2 linked regions of the Xenopus tropicalis genome follow. The protein of the gene in region 2 binds, or shares a complex with, the protein of the main gene of each other region. Links are inferred from orthologs where the notes say so. Each region holds a gene or a part of one and is shown on either strand. Other genes may lie near its edges.

What was found. The genes of interacting proteins can lie anywhere in the genome.
Region 1: the proteins of nmur2 (region 2) and nmu are in contact, whole or in part, in a cryo-EM structure (PDB 7XK8), measured with the Homo sapiens proteins. The link is inferred for Xenopus tropicalis from reciprocal best matches to the Homo sapiens genes NMUR2 and NMU. Residues at the interface, in NP_064552.3 of Homo sapiens: Ser42, His43, Gly98, Glu102, Glu105, Met106, Trp107, Arg108, Asn109, Tyr110, Pro111, Thr123, Phe126, Glu127, Asn181, His185, Pro199, Ser201, Thr203, Cys204, Val206, Tyr213, Phe284, Arg288, Phe291, Glu295, Trp297, Ser298, Glu299, Ala302; in NP_006672.1 of Homo sapiens: Glu146, Phe152, Ala153, Ser154, Gln155, Gly158, Tyr159, Phe160, Leu161, Phe162, Arg163, Pro164, Arg165, Asn166.

What each region holds. Positions count from the first base shown.
Region 1 is NC_030677.2:40,450,686-40,457,670, reverse strand, and holds part of nmu (neuromedin-U), read left to right. Parts: intron 1-1,873; coding exon 1,874-1,912; intron 1,913-2,021; coding exon 2,022-2,081; intron 2,082-3,096; coding exon 3,097-3,126; intron 3,127-3,227; coding exon 3,228-3,278; intron 3,279-6,985.
Region 2 is NC_030679.2:12,967,348-12,974,888, reverse strand, and holds the start of nmur2 (neuromedin-U receptor 2), read right to left. Parts: upstream 4,868-7,541; 5' UTR 4,179-4,867; coding exon 3,456-4,178; intron 1-3,455. UniProt on the Homo sapiens protein: Receptor for the neuromedin-U and neuromedin-S neuropeptides.

The DNA.
Region 1 (6,985 bases), on a different chromosome or scaffold from region 2:
TATAATGAAGCTCACGCTAGGAAAATTTTGAAAATGTCTTTACCATTCCTGTATTTTTTTACGTCTTATCATTTTATGGTTTTCACGTTACTGTATTAATTTAAAAAAAAAAAGATATAGGGCTTTGTAAAGTTCTTCCCAGAGTAGTTTTGCATGCTGATTTATACATTTATAGTTGCACCAGTTCCTTACCAGTAGCAGCAAACTAATTCCCAACTCTAATCAAGGGTAACAGCTAAGCTGCTCATGCATGCTCTCATCCTATCCCGACTTGACTACTGTAACCTGCTATTAACCGGCCTCCCTAACTCCCATCTTTCACCCCTACAGTCTATATTAAATACTGCTGCCAGAATTCTCCTCCTCTCATCCAGGAGAGTTCAGGCCCTTCTGCTGCTAAAGGCCTTATCATGGCTTCCTATTAAACAAAGAATTTCCTACAAACTTCTTCTTCTAACCTTCAAAGCCCTCCATTCCTCTGCTCCTCATTACATCTCTTCCCTTGTGTCTCTGTACGTTCCTGGCCAACTCCTTCGTTCCTCGCAGAGCAATCGTTTGGTTGCGCCCCCCACTGCTACTGCTGTTTCCCGCCTTAAACCTTTCTGCCTTGCTGCCCCTTACATTTGGAATGCCCTCCCTGATTTCCTCCGAAGAGAATCCTCCCTCAGTCTTTTTAAAACCAAACTAAAAGACTAGCTTTTGGAGCACTCGCCCAGCACCTGATCTGGGAAATAGCACTTATATTGTAGTGTCACCCACTGTGACCTACAGCACTTATATTTACCTATTTGTGTCTGTAAGTTACCCTCCCATATAGATTGTAAGCTCTACAGGGCAGGGACCTCCATCCTCTTGTGTCTTTGACTCTTAACCTATTGCAACTGTTACTTTATCTTGTATTTATTTGTATTTATTGTTATACTTTGTATTTATCTATTATCTTATTAACCCCCTGTTTGTATTAATGTATTCTACTGTACAGCGCTGCGTACATAAGTAGCGCTTTATAAATAAAAATATACATACATACATACATACATACAAGAAATGAAAGGAAGAATGTATTTTGCTGCTATTGATAACTGCATAGATGTAAGTTTGCACCGGAATATTTAATTCCAGAAGAGGTAGCAGTCCTGTTAATAAAACAGCTCCTGGCCTTTTAAGGGAGTAATGTAATCACAGGAACGAAGTTTTTTCCAAGTCTATCCAAGTCATGGCAAACTTTCAGCAACTAGCCTCTACTAGTCTTCTCTGTAGGAGCATATATCTGATTAGTTGTGAGTTACTAGACCTAAAGCAGACTTTGTGCCTGTTATTACTGCACCCATTTTCTGTAATATGCAATGTAGTAACTGGTTCATTTAGCTGACTTTTAGATCAGGACATGGCTATCATAATTTGGGGAAAATGTTTAAAATAATAAAACTTGATATGGAGCTGGGGGATACCCTCAATATACTAAGGGCAGGTTTATTAAATTGTAAGTTGAGCTTAATACATAAAAACTCACTCCCCGTTCTATTCATTCCTATTCATTGTCATGATAAATCTGCCTCTAAAAATCAGATTTATGGATTATTATATTTTTTAACAAAAGGTAATGATGCTTACCACCTGTTAAGAACTGACCAATCGATTTTCATTTATAAGCATCTTTTCTACACCTCCTCATATGAAGGATCGTGATAAAGAAGCATACCAAATTGAGGTTTTATGAATAGATAGTGCTATAGGTGTTTTATAGGTCAGTACATTTCAGCCTGCTGGGAATCCACTGGGTGTTTCTACCTCTTGGTTTCAGATCAAAAAGATTTTGACATGTGCAATGCTCTTTTTAAAGATATTATGTAATTTTCCCTCTTTTCAACAGCTTGGCAATGATTGTTCTACAATCCTGTCAGATTCACTGGTGAGTATGTACAATGATTTGTTTTCTGCCTTTCCTTCTTGATTTTTTTCTACTTGATTTAAATGGAATAAATTCAGTACTGAGCCTGCTTTCACTGTGTTCATTGCAGGGACCCAGCACATTAGAAGAGCTGTGTTTCATGATTATGGGCATTCTGCAGAAGTCTCAGGTAAAGCAAGGTTTCATTCGTAAGTGACTTATTCTTGGCATTTGTCTTCTGTTCTCCATTAACATCTGTACTTCATCCTGTACTAGGCCCCGAAGAGTAGACCATAAAAGGGAGGGGATTATTAAATGTAGGTGGGATTGGGATATGTTGGATCAGTGCTACAGGTGTACAATAGATATACATTTTATACATTATATACATCTTGTCATAAGACAACAAGATTTTGGTTGGTTGGAGCAATTCAAGAAGCATTTTGGACAGTTGGCTGCATAGGTTTAAATCGATTCTGGTGCTTTACCTTTAAACCATTTCAAACCATGACACATACTACGAGACGTGCTGAACAGAGCATACAGCACCTTCTACCTTTGTCATGGGCATAAATCTGACTTGATAAGGAGATTAATGGTTTCTATAGCTGCCCGATAAACAATTATCCCCAGAGATATGCACTGACATAATAAGGTATCTAAAAGTAGTTAGAGGACCAGCACTCCCTGTGAATATGATTATATTTTCTTTATTAACACATTGCACAGAGGAAGTCAAATGTTTCAGTACTCATTAGGACCTTTATTCTTGATAAAGGTCCTAATGAGGACCTAACAAAGGATGCACTGCCAGAGATGCCCTTTTGGCAGGTGAAATAAATGAATAGTAAAAATAGTAATGTTTAGTACATGAATGAATAGTTCATGAATTGTAGCATGAAACTCTATTCATTGACTGATCTATAACAGAACCCTCGGTGCTGGCACGATACAAACTTATAGTATATACTACATGCTGGTTTGTTGGTATGGGCTACTATAACTTGAGCATACTTTACACCTATTATTTTATTCCTCACCCCCCAAAGAAAAATTGGCACCTCAAGTGATGGAGCTTTGGACATTAACTTGGTAAAAAAAATGTCCCTACCATATAACTCTGACATGCAGCTGCTGTGTCGTAAATACTGATGCACAAGTTCTATGAGGGTTAATAAAATATTTTTTGACTGTATTCTTTGCAGGGTTCAGATGAAAAAGAGGAGAGCAAAAGGGTAAGTAGTGTACTGTACAGAACACATACATTGTCAAGATAGCCCTTATCCATGGACTGGTTCAGTAGTAAAATAGAATTTTAATTTTTTTCCCTGCGCAGTTCTTATTTCATTATTCTAAGAGTCATGAATCAGGCAACTCAGACATCACGGTAAGTTGCACAACCTCTGAGGGAACCACACTGAAATAGTCACACTAGCACTCTACTGGGGTTAGTCCTGTCCGCTCTACTAAGTATTAGTGTATATATGTCTTCACATTTTGGCCAAAAGGAATATACTAAAGCAAAATGCTTTTCAACATAAGGCTATATTGTGGTGACTTATACTAGTTTTAACTTTACAAACAAATACATTGAAAAGCCTTTTTGGGATAAGATATTCGAATAGTATGGTATAATATACAAGGAAACATAATCAGAAGTTACACTTGTATTAAAAAGGACTGAAGAAGTTTCCCAGTAGACCATTAGTAACAATTTTTAGTTTCACCCACTGGAAAATGCAGGAATCATCACGAAATAAACTTGGTTCAACTATTTAATGTGCTCTAAAATGAGCACATAAACTAGATTGGATGGCAGGGTGCAAAAAAAAATTGTGCCTGCTTTTTGCACTTTTGCACCCATACTTCCATTTCATAAATAACCCCTTACAGAATTACAGAATTCTTACAGAATTGACATGGATTTGTTTAAAATTGACATCTATAAACTCCACATCTTATAACTGATAACATGGAATACAGTGTAGTGCCCAACTTTATTATGTTTTCTCCCACAAACCACTGTTCCTCCCAAGAATTCCAGCTTACAACTAGACACAAGCTATGCATCAAAACCCATGCAAAATGTGCATCCTACTGTAAATTGTATGCATCAAGTATGGGTGTCAATGTTGGTGACACGCAGGCATGCCATGGTCATACCCATATACACCTTTTATTTTTCAGTATTCTGCTGCACCAAAGTAACTTGTAGGAGTAAAGCGTTATTTGAACCCTGAACTGAATGGATGCTCTTTGGATCCTATTATGTTACACCTTGACACCACGTGCTAATTATCATGGGCCAAATTATTTTAGTTATTGTCCCAAGACAGCTTGATTTTGTCCAGACAAGTTTATCAGTCACACACAATAAATCTTCTCTACCATGGGCGACTAAAGGCTTTTAAAAAAGGCTTTCACACTAGAAATAATGCAAAGCTCCTGTGGGAAACCATATCCGTCACTTCAATTTTGGTAGTAGCCCAAGGTTACATTGCGACTTTGCAAAGCTGAAGGGACGTGTTTTCCCACCAGCGATTTACATTATTACTGGGGGAAAAACAGTTCAAGAAGATTAATCGCCCATGGTAGAGGGGATTTAACTTGGGCAACAAATCTCCATGTGTATCATCACCCTAAGTGGCAGATTTATCAAAATGTTAGAGTAGCGTTTACCACAGAACATTCACACTCACCCACTATCTATTGATCCCCATGGGATTTTTAGAAGTGTATTTATCAAATGGTGAACTCTAACTTTTACCCATTAATAAATACACTTCTAAAAATCCCATGGGATTTTCGGAGCATATTTTGGTGCAGAAACAAGCAATTATCCATTTTGGCAACAAAATCTGCTCCATGTTCCTGCACCAGGGCCAACACAGTGAGAAGGCTGAGTAGAGTAAGGGCTGTGGATAAATGCCGGCCGTGAATCAATCCCCTGTGGCAGTAGCCTAAAGTGAGACTGGTGTTATAATTAGGGTAATGGCATAATGATTACTTGTTTAGTCATGTCTTTATAGCTTGGTGACATCAAGAAAACCACCCCAAATTGCTTCTGAAGTTCATATTGAAACCCTGGGAGGGGGCTTATGGGTCCGCCTGTTTGGCTAATTTAAACAAAGCCTTTAATAATTTTGTTCTAACTATGTGATAACCCAGAAACCTTTCAGATAACAAACTTTGGTGTTGCATGTTTGTGTCCCTTATTCTAGTCTCCAGAAACACACTGCAGTATGTTGCTTATGCAGATACTGTTGAGAGGGCAACAGGAACATGCGTTGCAATCAGATTAGTTATACACAGTGGGCACTTGGATTTCTGTATTTTATACTGATACTTTGGATTCATAAACAAATATTGCTGTTAAAAAAAATTATAGTATGAAAATATAGATGAAAAATCCATTTTACATATATTCTGGTAACTGACCCAGATTCAGTATTTCTCCAGGTTGTCTGGTTTATTAATAAAGGGGTGGTTCACCTTTCAGTTAACCAGTTCTTAGCAAATTCTCAATTGGTCTCAATTTTTTATCATTTTTAAATTAAAAAGGTTTGTGGCTACATTTCATTGTTGCTGTTAATTTTTATTTCTTAACTTTCTATTCAGACCATATTCATATTCCAGTTTCTCATTCAAACCACTGCCTAGTTGCTAGCAACCATATAGCTGCTAAAATTTACCCTGGAGGGTTGCTGCATATAAAGCTAAATAATTAAAAAAACACAATAATTAAAAATGGAGACCACTTACAAATTGTTTTAGAACTACATACTAAAAGTAATTTGAAGGTGAACAACCAGCTTAACCAATTTTTTAAACATTTTTTTGATCACTGGGGAGAAGCAACCCATCATGATCTCCTGTTCCACGATCATTGCTCTTTAGGTTACCTATTGTTTTAATCAGAGGTGGGCCAAGCCGGCCGGGCGCCCTAGGCAACCCGGTAGGCCACCTCGCCCAACCACCCTCCCCATGCTTTGGCACGCATACGCAGTCCAGGGGGGCGGCTTGCAATGCGATGGGTCATTGCCCCCACCGCTAATTACAAGCGGCGGGGCCAATGGCAAAGAAGGAGGACTAGCGGTAGGCAGGAGAGGCTCCTGCCTGGCGCTCCATAATCATTGTGCCCTAGGCAGCTGCCTCTTCTGCCTACCCCTAGTTCCGGCCCTGGTTTTAATACAGCAAATTTGAAAGCAGCTTTCTAACTTACATAAAACTTATGTTTAATCTAAGTCGCCTCTTCATTTCCAAAAGCCTGTGTGAAGTTCTCAGCTTCTAATTTTTGTGGAGGCATCTATGTTATTGCTTGGTGGTCATTATGTGTGTATGTAGCAGGCAACTGTCTTTATATATGTCTTTATAGCTGGCCATATCAGCAAGCTGTAAATATAGGATCAGGGTATGTGCGAGTGCTTGCATGTCAGCTTGTGTGTCACCTAAAGGCTTAATTACTTCAGCAAAGGAGATTATGAGTATTGTCCACGTACAGAATGGTCTCCCCTATGTATAGTAATTAATAAAGCAGATATCAGTATTACTATAGAATAAAAATAATTAGCCCTAAGTGATAATGCTGCAAATAATTATGGAAAAATCAATGGTGTCTACTTTGTAACCACAGTAGGGGAGAGAGCACTGAATAAATACATTCTCCCCTCATCTTTATTATGCTGGGATAAAGAAATGCACATAAAAGTGTATAATAAACCTTGGCAAATACTGATTTTTCTTTCAACTCCCCATTAATTATATATAGCTGTTATATACTAACTCTGCTACCCCAAAAAACTTTTTAATTGAAGATTTTTGTACATCTCTTTATTCAAGGTTTTCCAATTTGTTCTAAACAAAATTGGCACCATCAAATCAGAGAAAATATATTTTACAGATCTTACAAATTTGATGCAGCAAAGAATGTATAGCATAACCAAAGTATTAAACAAACATACACAGAAAAAGTTCAGCTTTGAAAATTGTAGCAATAATGGTTGGGCTCTGGTTGGGCTAATGTAGGGTAAAATCTTGAAGGGGGTTAGGGCTCTGGCACACGGGGAGATTAGTCGCCCACGACAAAACTCCCTG
Region 2 (7,541 bases):
CATAAGTTCCACGGGGCTGCAGTCTGGACACAATTATATGCACATCTGCACCTTCATAAAACTATTGGATCAGAATGTCTCTGAACCATTTTCTAATATCCTCTCTGCCAGTTAGTGCAATAATAGTAAGATAGAGAGGGAAGGAAGCAAGAGCAGATTCGGCTCCACCAAGGAAAGTAGCTGGAAGTACCTTCCATGCAGGCACTGTTGCCTCAGCATAGGGCCACGGTTCAGACATAGGAGATAGGCAGTATCGCAACCCTGATCCACAGTCTGCTGTAGGACTCTCAAGCTAGAGGTATTCAACCTGAGGTATCTATCCTGACTGCTTCCATATAGGTGCCAAGCTGTGGTGCATTTACCCTGCCCAGACTCTAAAGGAGGTGGGATAAACCGGTGTGCATCCTCTCTTTGCTGTCCTCAGAGTACTACTATCATATACCATCTGTATGTGAGTATATTGCAATAACCCTGCACATTGATTGTCTCTGAAAATAAACCAGTTCTATTGTTCAACTGCAAGAACCTTCTGGTGTCCATTTTTGCTAAATTGCACTGCACACAGCCAAAGTGAGTTGTAGTTCCACTACACCCCCTGGCTTCCTTGGTCACTTCCACATAGCGAAGGTCCATCTTGAAGGATTGAGTCGCATGTACCCCATGATCTAAACCTATACTAGCCATGGGTTTGACTGTTTTACACTAACAAAATAAATGTATCAGCCATTTACCAAATAACAGAATGACAGAGGAGTTATATTCCAAAAGACATATCTCTGTTACACTGTTTGGTCTACCAGTTACTGTTCTTGAATGACTACCTATAGCAGGGATCCCCAACCTGTTTAGTTGTGAGCCACACTCAGATGTAATGAGAGTTGGGGAGCCAAACAAGCATGAAAAAAAGTCCTTGGGGGTGTCAAATATGGACTGTGATTGGCTATTTGGTAGCTCCATGGGGACTGCGAGCCTGCAGGAGCCTCTACTTGGAGTTAAACTGGGTCTGAACGCTTCCAAAACTTGACTCCAAGCCATAAATTTAAAAATGGCACCTACTTTGAGGCCACTGGGAGCAACATCAAAGGGGTCGGTGAGCAACATGTTGCCTACAAACCACTGGTTAGGGATCACTGACCTACAGTATAGAATTCCATTGTTCCACTGAGAGCCAAAGTCGGATGGGAGTGCTGGAAATGGAGTGCTAGAGGGCTGCAGATTGGACATTCCTGATTAACTTCTTTATATTGTGGTCCCCCATCTCTTATTTTATATTTAACATTTCGCCTTCCTCTGGATCAACTAGTAGTTAGGCAGGTTGTATATAGGCATTAAGGTTGAACGTGATGGACGTACGTCTTTTTTCAACCTAACTTACTATGTTACTATGTAGATATTTGCAGAATATTAAAGATGATTACTATCCTTCATTTATATAGCATTGGCATATTCCATGGAAGTTAACAGAGATTATAAATCATTCATTGCCCCAGTTAATCATTATCAGGAGCCTAATAACCTGCATGTATATTTCTGGAGAGTGGGAGGAAATCCAGAAAAGTACAGGGAGAACATACAAGCTCCTTGCAGGTAGTGCCCTGGCTGAAATAGAACCTTGGATATTATACAGGTATAGGAGCTGTTATCCAGAATGCCCGGGACCCAGGTATTCCGAATAAGAGATCTTTTCATAATTTGGATCTCCATGCCTTAAGTCTACTAAAAAATCTTTTAAACATCATTTAAACCCAATAAAATTGTTTTGCCCAATAGGGCTGTTCTGCCCCAATAAGGGGTAATTATATCTTAGTTGGGATCAAGTACAGGTACTGTTTTATTATTATAGAGAAAAGGGAATCATTTAACCATGAAATAAACCCAATAGGGCTGTTCTGCCCCCAATAAGGGGTAATTATATCTTAGTTGGGATCAAGTACAGGTACTGTTTTATTATTACAGAGAAAAGGGAATCATTTAACCATTAAATAAACCCAATAGGGCTGTTCTGCCCCCAATAAGGGGTAATTATATCTTAGTTGGGATCAAGTACAGGTACTGTTTTATTATTACAGAGAAAAGGGAATCATTTAACCATTAAATAAACCCAATAGGGCTGTTCTGCCCCCAATAAAGGGTAATTATATCTTAGTTGGGATCAAGTACAGGTACTGTTTTATTATTACAGAGAAAAGGGAATCATTTAATCATGAAATAAACCCAATAGGGCTGTTCTGCCCCAATAAGGGGTAATTATATCTTAGTTGGGATCAAGTACAGGTACTGTTTTATTATTACAGAGAAAAGGGAATCATTTAATCATGAAATAAACCCAATAGGGCTGTTCTGCCCCAATAAGGGGTAATTATATCTTAGTTGGGATCAAGTACAGGTACTGTTTTATTATTACAGAGAAAAGGGAATCATTTAATCATGAAATAAACCCAATAGGGCTGTTCTGCCCCCAATAAGGGGTAATTATATCTTAGTTGGGATCAAGTACAGGTACTGTTTTATTATTACAGAGAAAAGGGAATCATTTAACCATTAAATAAACCCAATAGGGCTGTTCTACCCCCAATAAGGGGTAATTATATCTTAGTTGGGATCAAGTACAGGTACTGTTTTATTATTACAGAGAAAAGGGAATCATTTAACCATTAAATAAACCCAATAGGGCTGTTCTGCCCCAATAAGGGGTAATTATATCTTAGTTGGGATCAAGTACAGGTACTGTTTTATTATTACAGAGAAAAGGGAATCATTTAACCATGAAATAAACCCAATAGGAAAAATACAGAAAAAAGAATTTAAATAACATATGGTGTCTTTTTTTATTAAAAACCAAATAACTTTCATACATAAACTGCAAGCTCTTGGGGATCTCCTGCTTATATTATCCTGCCTGAAAAGGTTTCTTTTCCAAATAATGTAACTATTTAACCCTTTGTATTTAGTGTCTTGCCTTCATGTAACATTATGCAATGCTTCCTTTCTGCAATGCCGTGCCATTTCTGTACAGATATTTACCATGCAATTAAATAAAGCATAGATTCTCCCTGGAGGTAGCATTTAGTTCAACATTGTCTGCATGTCAGAGAGCAGTTTTAATGAAATATACATTTTCACTTATGTTAACACAGCAATGGTCATATCTCTGAACTTAAAGCAGAAAGAGCAGTTCTGATATTTCTATGAAGCTTCTCATTCATCCAGGTCATGATATACAGTATAAAGCCTAAAAGTCTAAAACAAGTAAGTCTAAAGTAAGTCTAAAACAACTGGACTTTTCTGAGTTTTTCTTGACAACGTTTCACCACTCATCCGAGTGGCTTCTTCAGTTCAGAAGAAGCCACTTGGATGAAATGTTTTCAAGAAAAATTCAGAAAAATGCAGTTGTTTTAGACTTCTACTAGTCTGATATTCCCTCAACACACACAAAACAAGGTAGGGGAACTTACTTTTATTCCCATCAGACAATAGAGGACACTTATAACCCCCATTGGAAGAATATAGAACAGCAGCGAGGTCACTTGGATAATGCAGTTATAAATCCACAGAGGTTGAACCACGGTGCACGTGGCTGAATCCGGGATAAGGCTCCCATTGGGAAAGTACTGCAATAGGATACCGTGTGTGCTTGTGTTTGGGATGGAGAAAAGAATAGAGAAGATCCAGAGAGTGACCAGGATTTTGAGAGCCCTGCTTCGAGTGCTTTTCAGCTTGGCTTGGAATGGGTGGATGATGGCCACATACCGCTCGACACTAACAGTGGTGACACTTAGGATGGAGGCAAAGCAGACTGTTTCAAAAAGGACTGTTTTAAAATAGCAACCCCAGGCGCCAAAGAGGAAAGGGTAGTTGCTCCACATTTCATACACTTCAAGAGGCATCCCAAGGAGCAGAACCAGGAGGTCAGACACTGCCAGGCTGAACAGGTAATAGTTGGTAGGGGTCCTCATATTGTGATGCTTTAGGATGACCAAGCATACGAGTGTGTTTCCGATGACTCCAATAAGAAATATAGTTGCATAGACTAGAGTCATTGGTAGAGATAGGCGACTGCGCTTTGGACCACACAAGTAAGCCAAGTACTCCTCTGTGCTGTTGAGGTATCTCATCATGGAGTTGTCCGGAGGAAGATGACTTGGCCACATGAAAGTGATGTTCTGCTGGTCATCCATCCTCCTAAAAATCTGAATGTGAGATGATTACAACTGAAAAGTTGAGGTACAAATACAGAAGACAGAGAAGCAATAAAAAGAATACAAGAATGACAGCCAAGTTTCTTAAGGGGACAATACAAAAGGTAGAAGAAAAGAAGCAAGGGAATAAGTTCCTTGATTTAAATCTTGCAGAGAATGAATGGTGGATAGAAGCAAGTGAAGAAGTTCCTTGGTTGAAATCCTGCAGAGAATGAATGGTGGATAGAAGCAAGTGAAGAAGTTCCTTGGTTGAAGTCTTGCAGAGAATCAATGGTGGATAGAAGCAAGTGAAGAAGTTCCTTGGTTGAAATCTTGCAGAGAATGAATGGTGGATAGAAGCAAGTGAAGAAGTTCCTTGGTTGAAATCTTGCAGAGAATTAATGGTGGATAGAAGCAAGTGAAGAAGTCCCTTGGTTGAAATCTTGCAGAGAATTAATGGTGGATAGAAGCAAGTGAAGAAGTTCCTTGGTTGAAGTCTTGCAGAGAATGAATGGTGGATAGAAGCAAGTGAAGAAGTCCCTTGGTTGAAATCTTGCAGAGAATGAATGGTCTATAGAAGCAAGTGAAGAAGTCCCTTGGTTGAAATCTTGCAGAGAATGAATGGTCTATAGAAGCAAGTGAAGAAGTTCCTTGGTTGAAATCTTGCAGAGAATGAATGGTCTATAGAAGCAAGTAAAGAAGTTCCTTGGTTGAAATCTTGCAGAGAATGAATGGTCTATAGAAGCAAGTGAAGAAGTCCCTTGGTTGAAATCTTGCAGAGAATGAATGGTCTATAGAAGCAAGTAAAGAAGTTCCTTGGTTGAAATCTTGCAGAGAATGAATGGTCTATAGAAGCAAGTGAAGAAGTTCCTTGGTTGAAATCTTGCAGAGAATGAATGGTCTATAGAAGCAAGTGAAGAAGTTCCTTGGTTGAAATCTTGCAGAGAATGAATGGTGGATAGAAGCAAGTGAAGAAGTTCCTTGGTTGAAATCTTGCAGAGAATGAATGGTCTATAGAAGCAAGTGAAGAAGTTCCTTGGTTGAAATCTTGCAGAGAATGAATGGTGAGGCAGATAATAAAGGGGAACTAAAGAATAAAGTCAATAAAACAAAAGAATGATTGTAATGAAACAATATATCCCCAGTACTTTCCCAGAAATGCCTGTGTGAGCGTATGAGAAAGGCTGCTGCTGCTGCTGCCGATGTTGGAATCTCAGATTTCGTTGCTGCTGAAGATTAAGCACTAGTTGCCTTGTATAGATCTCCGTTTCCAGAATGACATCTCCTCCCCTAACGGGTGCTCATTGGATGCTCCGGCAAAATCATTATTCTAACAATGAAAAGGATGTAACTGGGGGATATCAGCTGGGGATTCTGTCTGGGGTTCTTTTGCCTGAATTATAACTAAATAAAATAAAGTGACTGATGTTTTCATAGTTTTTCACCTTAATTTATAGATTTAATTTCTGCATTGGGTTTTTTTTTTAATACTTTCTGTAAGTGATGCCATAAGCTACTGCGGCTTAAGGCTTCCGTACAAAAACAATACACAATGCAGGTATGGGATCCCTTATCCGGAAACCTGTTATCCAGAAATACGGAAAGGCCATCTCCCATAGACTCTATTATAAGCAAATATTTCTAATTTTTATAAATGATTTCCTTTTTCTCTGTAATAATAAAAGGGTTTCCGGATAAGGGATCCTATAATATTATAACTCTGATAGGATTAATCATGTTGGGAGCTGTATTCCAGTAACATAGATTCTTAAACTAAACTTTTCCCTACTGTACAGGGCCGACAGACCAATGATGTCTAATTGCAGTGAAATTTTAGCGAACAAAAAATGGTTTGTAATACTGGCCAAGCATCTGGACATATATGCCAAGTCTGAAGGCCATTTTGGCTAAAAGATCGCACGTTTGATAATTTCATCTTCCTATGCACAGTGTCATCAAGTGCATTTCCGAATAAGGGAAATAATAGGAAGGGGGTCATGAATTTGTAAGGCCACCCATACATTTTCAATCTGTTCAACCGACAGCAAATTGGATACCAGAGGGCGTTGGTCTGTTTATGGCGACCTTTAGTCAAATTGGTTTCTCTTATGAGTACAATGAAATCTGAACAATTTAGTCTAATTGGTCTCTTAATTCTTAAGGTGCCCATATACGTCAAGATCCGCTCGCTTGGCGATGTCGCAAAGCGAGCGGATCTTCTCCCGATATCCCCAATATCGGGGAAAATGTTAGCTAATTCGATCATTTGGCCCCAGGGGGAATTATAATGGTGGCAATGGGGCAGTCGGTTCGGGCACCGCATCAACGAGTCAATGCGGTCCCCGATCAGACTAAATATTTTAACCTGCCCGGTCAATATCTGGCCAATTTCAGGCCAGATATCGGTTGGGCACAGGCCTGGATTTGTGGAGAGGCCACAAAGGCCCAGGCCTAGGGCGGCATGCCACCCCGCCGCACCACAATCTTAAGCTTTTTCATCCATATGGAGCAGTGGGGACCTCTCCCCCACTGCTCCATATGCGAATGTTTACACCCTGCATGCACGTTGGGGAGGGGGCGGTGCCAATCGCACGTTCGCGTATGCGCATGGGGGCGGTGCCGATCGCACGTTCGCGCATGCGCATGGTGGGGGTGTGCCGATCGTGCGCATGTGCGGAGGGCGACGGAGGGGGGCGGCCTTGGGGCGGAAGGATTACAAATCCGGCCCTGGTTGGGCAGGCCCCTCGTTCCTGCCCCTACACGGGCCGATAAGCTGCCGAATCTGTCAAAGGGACCAATATCGCCAGCTACAATCGGCCCGTGTATGGGGACCTTAAGAAACAAATGCACACCTAGGGTAACCCTGGTACTTCAGAGTTTAAGAAGGACAGCACCTCCACCATACATAGAAATTTAAGGGAACTCCAGCACCAGGGTTGAATGCTTAAATAGGGATATCCCCTGTGTTTATTTGCGCCAAGCCAAACAAATTAACAAATAAACACAGTAGATATCCTTGTTTAAACATTAAACCCATGTGCCGGAGTTCCTTTTGACGTCTAAAGGTCCCCATACACGGGACGATTGTAGCTGCCAATATCAGTCCCTTAGACCGATTCAGCAGCTTACCGGCCCGTGTATGGGCACTACTGATGGGCCTGCCCGACCGATATCTGGCCTGAAATTGGGCAGATATCGATCGGACAATTTTAAAGATTCAGTCAGATCGGGGACCGCATTGGCTCGTTGATGCGGTCCCCGAACCGACTGCCCCATTTCCGCCAATATAATTCGATCGTTTGGCCCCAGGGCCAAACGATCGAATTAGCCTACACATTCCCTGATATCGCCCACCCGCAGGTG